Cricetulus griseus: one gene and its partner. The protein of the gene in region 1 purifies or fractionates together with the protein of each later gene. This does not show direct contact. Links are inferred from orthologs where the notes say so. Each region holds a gene or a part of one and is shown in the gene's direction. Other genes may lie near its edges. The genes, in order: Ciao2a and Ireb2.

Evidence for each region.
Region 2: the proteins of Ciao2a (region 1) and Ireb2 purify together in Homo sapiens (affinity purification with mass spectrometry; 3 studies listed by BioGRID and IntAct, with this or other methods). This does not show direct contact. The link is inferred for Cricetulus griseus from reciprocal best matches to the Homo sapiens genes CIAO2A and IREB2.

What each region holds. Positions count from the first base shown.
Region 1 is NC_048597.1:177,745,146-177,748,967, forward strand, and holds part of Ciao2a (cytosolic iron-sulfur assembly component 2A), read left to right. Parts: intron 1-939; coding exon 940-1,104; intron 1,105-1,954; coding exon 1,955-2,004; intron 2,005-3,822. UniProt on the Homo sapiens protein: Component of the cytosolic iron-sulfur protein assembly (CIA) complex, a multiprotein complex that mediates the incorporation of iron-sulfur cluster into extramitochondrial Fe/S proteins.
Region 2 is NC_048597.1:166,526,367-166,530,437, forward strand, and holds the end of Ireb2 (iron-responsive element-binding protein 2), read left to right. Parts: intron 1-236; coding exon 237-422; intron 423-1,093; coding exon 1,094-1,204; 3' UTR 1,205-3,371; downstream 3,372-4,071. UniProt on the Homo sapiens protein: RNA-binding protein that binds to iron-responsive elements (IRES), which are stem-loop structures found in the 5'-UTR of ferritin, and delta aminolevulinic acid synthase mRNAs, and in the 3'-UTR of transferrin receptor mRNA.

The sequences.
Region 1 (3,822 bases):
ACCACCCGGCCCATGACCCATTTTTTATCTTAATACTATTCTCCCAAATACTTGAACTGAGTCATCTCCTTTTTCTCTCTGTGCTTGTCTTCCAGATGTAACAAGTTGCCCCGCCAGTCCTCTGAGATAACGTCGTTGAGTGTCCCATCTCTGTCCCTGTTGTATCGAGCTGATTTTAGGCCTAACTTTTCAGTGGCTGTCTTTAGCTGTGCTCTCTGGTTCTGGGTCTTGTAGCTGGTGTGAGCAAATTTGCAGCTGACAGTGCAGCACTGTCTTTCCCACTTCCTTGTTCTAAATCTTGAGGAATCCCTGTTCACTGTGGCTGGCTGTGAAAGATCCTGCTGGTTGGGCTCCACCCTTCTGTTCCACTCTTTCCTTACGCTGGGTTCCAAGCTGAGGAATGCCTGGTGGTTCTGTCCTCCAATTTAAATGTCAACCACCTAAAGGCTTAATCCCACCTTCTCTTCAGCCAGAATCCCCCTGGCGGGCCCTTGACATTTTCCCATTCATAGTCCCTTATGGTTTTGAATTAAGAAACTGGATATGGGCTAATAATAATCCAAGAAAATAGTTTTTTCAAAAGTAGGGGACATGTCTGTTGGGAAATTGGGAGTTGCTGAAATGTTTGTTTAAAAGAGAGTTAGGGTGGGGTGGTAGGGGCTGGAGAGATGGCCCAGTGGTTAGAGCACTCTGTTCTCGAAGAGGACCTGGGTGCACTTTCCAGCACCCACATTACAGCTCACCATTGTCCATGGATCTGAGGCCCTTTCTGGCTTCTGTGGGCACTGTGTGCACATAATGTACATACATATATAGAGGCAAAACATAACATAAAATCAGAGTAAATCTTGAAAAAGTAGTCAGTGCTTCGGTTGAGATGAGAAGACTAGCTCTCACTTAGGATACTCTAATTTAATACCTCGTCTCTGATGCCTTTAGATTTGATCCGAACTATCCGGGACCCAGAAAAGCCTAATACTTTAGAAGAACTGGAAGTGGTAACGGAGAGTTGTGTGGAGGTTCAGGAAATAAATGAAGAAGACTATTTGGTTATTATCAAGTTCACACCAACAGTACCTCATTGCTCTTTGGCAACTCTTATTGGTAAGGGTTTGTGTGTGTGTGTGTGTGTGTGTGTGTGTGTGTGTGTGTGTGTGTGTGTGTTTGTGTCAGGGTCTCACTGAAGCCTTGGCTGTCTTGGAACTTGATTTGTATTTATAGACCAGGCTGGCCTCAAACTCAGGGATCTGCCTGTTTCTGCTTTCCAAGAGCTGGGATTAAAGGTGTGTATCAACTATGCCCACCATGTATGAATTCTTTTTTTAAATTTAATATATATATTAAATATGTACTGTGGGTTTTGTTTGTTTGTTTGTTTGTTTGTTTGTTTGTTTTTTGGGACAGGGTTTCTCAGGCTGGCCTTGAACTCAGATTCACCTGCTTTTGCTGGGATTAAAGGTATGCACCACTACCTCCCAGCCAACTAATTATTGTATTTTTAAGAAACGTTTTATTTTTGATTTTCTTTTTTTTTGGGGGGGGGGGTTCGAGACAGGGTTTTTCTCTGTGTAGCTTTGGAGGCTGTCCTGGAACTAGCTCTTGTAGACCAGGCTGGTCTTGAACTCACAGAGATCCTCCTGCCTCTGCCTCCCGAGTGCTGGGATTAAAGGCGTGCGCCACCAACGCCCGGCACTTTGTGCTTTTTCTAGACCAGCAGGAAGAGTTAAAGAGGCCTGGTGGTGGTGGCACACACCATTAATCCCAGCACTCTGGAGGCAGAGGTGGATCTCTGAGTTTGAGGCCAGCCTGGTCCACAGAGCAAGTTCCAGGACAGCCAGGGCTGTTACACAGAGAAATCCTGTCTCAAACAAACAAAAACAAAATCAACAACAACAGAAAAAAAAAAAAGAGAGCAAGATAAAGAGATAATGGAAGTTTTTTCCCCCCGTCACAGGATTGTGCTTAAGAGTAAAACTTCAGCGGTGTCTGCCGTTTAAACACAAGGTAAGAAAGCTTGTTATTATCTTAAACCCAGAGCCTCACATGATCTAGGCCAGTGTCCTGCTGCTGAACCATGACCCTACTTCAGATTGTCTTTTATGACACTTGTTAATATATAATCCACACATCATGGAAGCCACATGAAGTGGACAGTTTAGTGGTTTCTGGTAACTCCTACAGAGCTCTGCAACTGTGTCGGTCAGAGTCACTTTTAGAACATTTGCATCGCCTGTAAAAGAAATCCTGTACCCAGGCAAGTGCGGTTATAGATAAGTGTAATGCCACCACTTGGGAGGTTGAGATGGGAGCTAGCCTATATCAAAAATGGAAATGAAGGAAGGAAGCAAGCAAGGAAGCTGGTCAGTCAGCCTAGAGTTACTAGCAGTAACTACTACTCTTATGCCATCCCCTCCTCTGTACTGGAACAACCATTTCCTGTCTCCATGATTTGCCTTGGGGCATTTCATTTTAATGAAGTTTAATGACGTGGATTTTTTGACTTAGTATGTTTTTGGTGTTTATGTTTTAACTTGTATAGGTGTTTCATTCTTCTGTACTATATAATATTCCACTGTAGAGAGACACCTTGTTTTATTTTACTTATCAGTTGTAAGACATTTGAATTGTTCCCTCTTGTTAAGTTAAAAATATTGTTTTGGGGCACTGGAGAGATGGTTCAGTGGTTAAGAGTACTGATTCCTTTTCTAGATCACCTAGGTTCAATGCCCAGCACCTACATGGTGGCTCACAGCCATGTGTAACTCTGGTGGTTCTTCTGACTCCAATGGCCATGCTGAACACACACACACATGTAGGTAAAACAGTCATACACATGAAATAAAATAAATAAATCTTTAAAAAAAGTATAATTGGCCGGGCAGTGGTGGCACACGTCTTTAATCCCAGCACTTGGGAAGCAGAGGCAGGCAGATCTCTGTGAATTCAAGGCCAACCTGGTCTACAGAGTGCCAGGACAGTCTCCAAAGATACAGAGAAACCCTGTCTCAAAAACAAAACAAAACAAAACTCTCTCTCTCTCTCTCTCAATATATATATATATATATATATATATATAGTTTCCCCAGTTGTCCACTAATATGATTTATGGCAGTATACCCTTCCATTACTACCCCTCCCCTCCCATCACACATTCTTGTTAGCTAGAGTCCATTTTGGCAGCTTCCCAAGTGCTAGATGCTAAGCACCATCAGCACACTCGGTGATCTTGACACAGAGTACAGAGCAGACATTTCATAGATTGTCTCTCACATTGAGTTTTCAGATGTTTCATGATTAGATTGCTATTTATTTTTGGCAAGAAAACAGAATAAACATGCTGCTATTACCTGACATCAAGAAGTGATAGTTTTAGTATTATTGATGCCAATTGCCTCCGGAATAAGGAGGTATTGCTTGACTCTTCATCTCTGTTTGTCACTATGTATCTCTAGCTGTCCTGGAACTCACTATGCAGACCAGGCTGGCTTCAAACTCACAGAGATCCACCTGCTGCTGTCTCTCAAGTGCCGGGATTAAAGGCATCTGCCACTACATCCAGGCTATGGCTATTTCAGAATAATGAGTCATGTGTAATTTTTAACCAAAGTGAAGGAATGGAGAGTGATACTCATGGGTTCAGTAAGTGTTCTGTGCCACTGGGGGAATCTGGACGGTGGTCTTTCTACTTGTGTGTTTGTGTGAGTGAGGATACATGTGTTCCATGGCACATGTGTGGAGGTCAGAGGATAACTTTCAGGGAGTTTCTTTCCCTCCATGTGGCTCCCAGGTATTGAATTCAGGTCATCGGGCATGCATGGCAAG
Region 2 (4,071 bases), about 11 Mb from region 1:
GTTATTTTTCCCTTTAAAATACTTAGGCAGATATGATGATATATCCTGCAAACTCAGCACCCCAGAGGCAGAATTGTCATGAGTTTGAATCCAATTTAGGCTACAAACCAAGATCTTCTCTAAACTAATGGTGGTGGTGGTGGTGGTGGTGGTGGTGGTGGTGGTGGTGGTGGTGGTGGTGGTGGTGGTGGTGGTGGTGATAAAAATAAAAGTGATGAAACGCATGTCCGTTACAGGGTGTAAAGGCTGTTTTGGCTGAAAGTTATGAAAAAATCCACAAAGATCATTTGATTGGAATTGGCATAGCTCCACTTGAGTTTCTCCCAGGAGAAAATGCAGACTCCTTGGGACTCTCTGGTAGAGAAGTATTTTCTTTATCATTTCCTGAAGAACTCTCTCCTGGAATTACATTAAATATGAAGGTATCTGAAAATTTCCAAATACATAATTGTGTACTCTGTACTCAGATAGGTGTAAGTTGAGTAAGAATTGTTTCTAATTGCATGCTAATGTCAGTGCATGTAAGCTGTAGCTTTTTGCTGTTAATCTCTGTTATTAATAGAGCTCATGTTGTCTGAGGAAAAGTAGAAGGAACTGGTTGCTTAGCCTAGAAAAAGATGCCTGGTAGAGGATTGAGGTTCAGTTGCTTCTGCCAGGTTTTCAGCTCTTTCTCTTTTGATCTAACTTTGACCCAGGCAATAATCCATTCCAGAGAGAAGCTAAAGTTCGGCATTCAGGGTTAGACTAAGCCTTTATAACTAAGGAAAGAAAGAAAAGGACAGAGACATTATATGTAATGGACACTTACTGTATAGTAAGAGTAAATAGTGAGTGATAACTTTCATAAAGGAAGCAAAACTAAGTCATGCTATAGAATTGCAAAGTCTGATACTTGTCCTTTAGAATTAGAGATCAAAATACCTGTTTTTCTATTTAGCTAATTGTTTTTAAATAATGGAAGGGTTTTGGGCAATCAAAATGTAGGAATTTAGACCAGGAAAATGAGGCAACAAATCGGGGAGTTAGTGGATGTGAATACAAATGATCTTATTCGAAGCTCTGACACTCACATATCTTTTTGTTTGTTTAAAAGACAAGTACTGGAAAAGAATTCAGCGTGATTGCATCATTTGAGAATGATGTGGAGATAACTTTGTACAAACATGGAGGCTTATTAAACTTTGTGGCTCGAAAATTCTCATAGTATCTACTTGCCATGGTATCTTTTGTGACTGGTAACTGCAAAGCCTTTTGTGCTGGATCCAGGAACCTTTGCCATGGAGCTGCAGATAATTCCAGTACACTTGTTTATGTCATCCATGGATGTAAATGATTATGAATCAATGTAGTGACTGAAATGAAATCTTGATTTTAAATAATATACGAATGGTGCTATTAACATTGCTAAAAATCAACGTGTGAAGTGTGTCGTGGAAGAGGCCTGTAAGTATGGGGGTTATATTTTATCAGAACATTTTGTAAATAAAGACAGAATTTGAACTTGTGTTGAAGATTCATATGAGTAGCCTTTCTGAAGCAGTTTGTTTTGTTTTGCCCTATAAAATTGGACTACTGTTTGTTGGTTTAAGAATAGCAAGTTGAAATACAAGAATCCAGATTAGTCCCTAAAATATTGGGAATGGCTACCTAATTTATAAAGAAATTTTTAAGTGTATTCTTTCCAGGATTGATTGGGACACAGTTAGCATTCCCAATTTGTAATGTAAGTCAAATTTACCCTTAGTCTCAGTATATCTTGAGTAATAGAACCTGCCCCAGATCACAGTCCCTCTGACCAATCCAGCCAAAGTTTACACCATGTCTGAGGATAAATAACTGCAAAATATAGATGATTGTATGGTATCATGTATTAGTAAAAAAATATCTCCTATGGTACAGCCCTGTAATTTTTCAGTAATTTGCCACTGTGACTCTCTGACAAGCCTTGAATACTGGTATATTAATTTAGACTAGATTTTGCTTATTTTACATGATACTATAACTTCTGTAACCTCAATTAGGTATTATCAACTGACATTCCACACTCCTTTTCTAAATGCTGAAAACAACTTCAATCAACTCTAGATTTCCCCTAGACTAATAAATAAATTATCTACCCAAAATTATATGGATATGCACCCCTAAGTATTTTTTAATGCTATTTTTTACAGTCCTTTAAGTTGACTTACTGCTATTTGAGTCTTTATTTGGGATACATCAGTCTTTATTTGGGATCTGTTCATTTCATTATAACTTGTTAATTTTTAATCAAAACTGACCATAAGGATAAGACTCTTGGTGATCATTGCTGTCTGCATGTCATGTGTTCCCAGTTGCATTTATATCTGTTATACCATATGCTTTGTGTTTTAAAACATTTTTTTAAAGGGTTGGAAATTTGTTTTAGAAGTCCCTATAACATTTTAATGAAGAAATTAAACTTGGCAGCAAGATGTTAAATGTAATGATTTTTAAAAATGTTTTCTTCATCTGATCTGTTTTTGTGCATAGCACAAAACAAAAGTACTTGTTTTATGCTAAAATTCAGCAACTACCAAACCAGTGGGTGAAGAGCACTGAGAACTTTGCACATAATCAGTCATACAGTCTGTTGAGAATATTTTTCAAATATGTACTTAGTTGAACTAGAGTTTGACAAAACAAAGTCTCTGTACTAAGTGGTTTTTTTTTTTTTTTTTCCTACTTTGAAATCATATTGTGTTCTGGTAGAAGCCATGTGTCTGTCTATGCATATGTATTAATCTGCATGGAAACCTGAGTTGGGAATGGAGAAGTTACAAATTGAGTATTAAAATACTGGTACATGCTTTGAAAAAATGGTAATTCAGGATGTATTTGTGGGGGAAATGACTTATTTTGAAAGCATACTCTGTCGATAGTCTGAGCTAAAGATGTGGACATAAACATATGAGAGATGATAAACCCAGCTATGAATCAAACACTTACATTTCTAGTCCACCTAGTCCAGTCATGGTATAAAAATTGTATTTCGGGAACAAAATCTTAATCTTATTCTCTTGCTTAGAAACAGTGAACTAAAATCTCAATAAGCACGATTTTAAATGAGGGAGGAAAATTAAACGCATGTCTCAATGCGTATGTATATTTTGTAATTCTGCCTCCAGCCAAATGTTACAAAAATATGCCTGTTTTCAATGTGTTATTTCCTTCATTGACTATTTTTAGTACTTTTGTGTTATTTTCTAAACATTACCAATATTTGGGAAAGGAAGTGAACACAAAAAAGCAAATCAGTATTGTGAATGTAGCGCAGTTACCAACAGCAGCATTTTAGTCTCAAGCATTGTGTTCCATGCTGTTGTGTGCCTTAGTTGTGTTGCTCATACAAATGAGCAACGGGTATCTCTTTCTCTGTGTTAGCACTTGGATGAGAGGCATCTCTTCACCTGACTGTTTGGATTTTCACTGGTATTAAACTAAAAGCTGTAAAGTGAAGAGCTCAGGCAGAGTCAAGTTATTTGCATATGTGATAACAATATAATGTGCATTCCTCTTCTCAGTGGTGACAGGATGAGAAAATTTGACAGTTTTCAGGGGTTGAAAAACCACCTTCCTTTTTGCCTTTGAGTCTAGGGAGAAGATACTAAGATACTGGATAATGATACTATAATTGATTTGAGGGGAAAAACAGGGAAAGGAAGTAGACTTTGACTGTTTCAATGGAATTTTTTCCCCTTCAAGGGGGACTGTGACTGTGCTGATGTGGTCTTTTTGTTTTGTTTATCAATTTTATGCATAATATGTGGCTATAAAACCATATATATCTCTTAAGTAACTACAAATCATTGTTATTTAAAGCCAACAAAATAGCATAAGTTTTAAGTTCAATAATGTTAAGTATTGTATAGAAATATATTGAAGGTAAAGTTCAGTTAATGAAATTGTGTATATGTTATTGATGCTGTAAATTATTTTTAATAAAGAAAATTGTATTATCACACTTGACTCATGTTGTAGTAACTTAGAGTAAAACATCATGACTTTGGAAATGAAAAGCTATCCAGAAATTAGAACATGCTTAATAAGAAT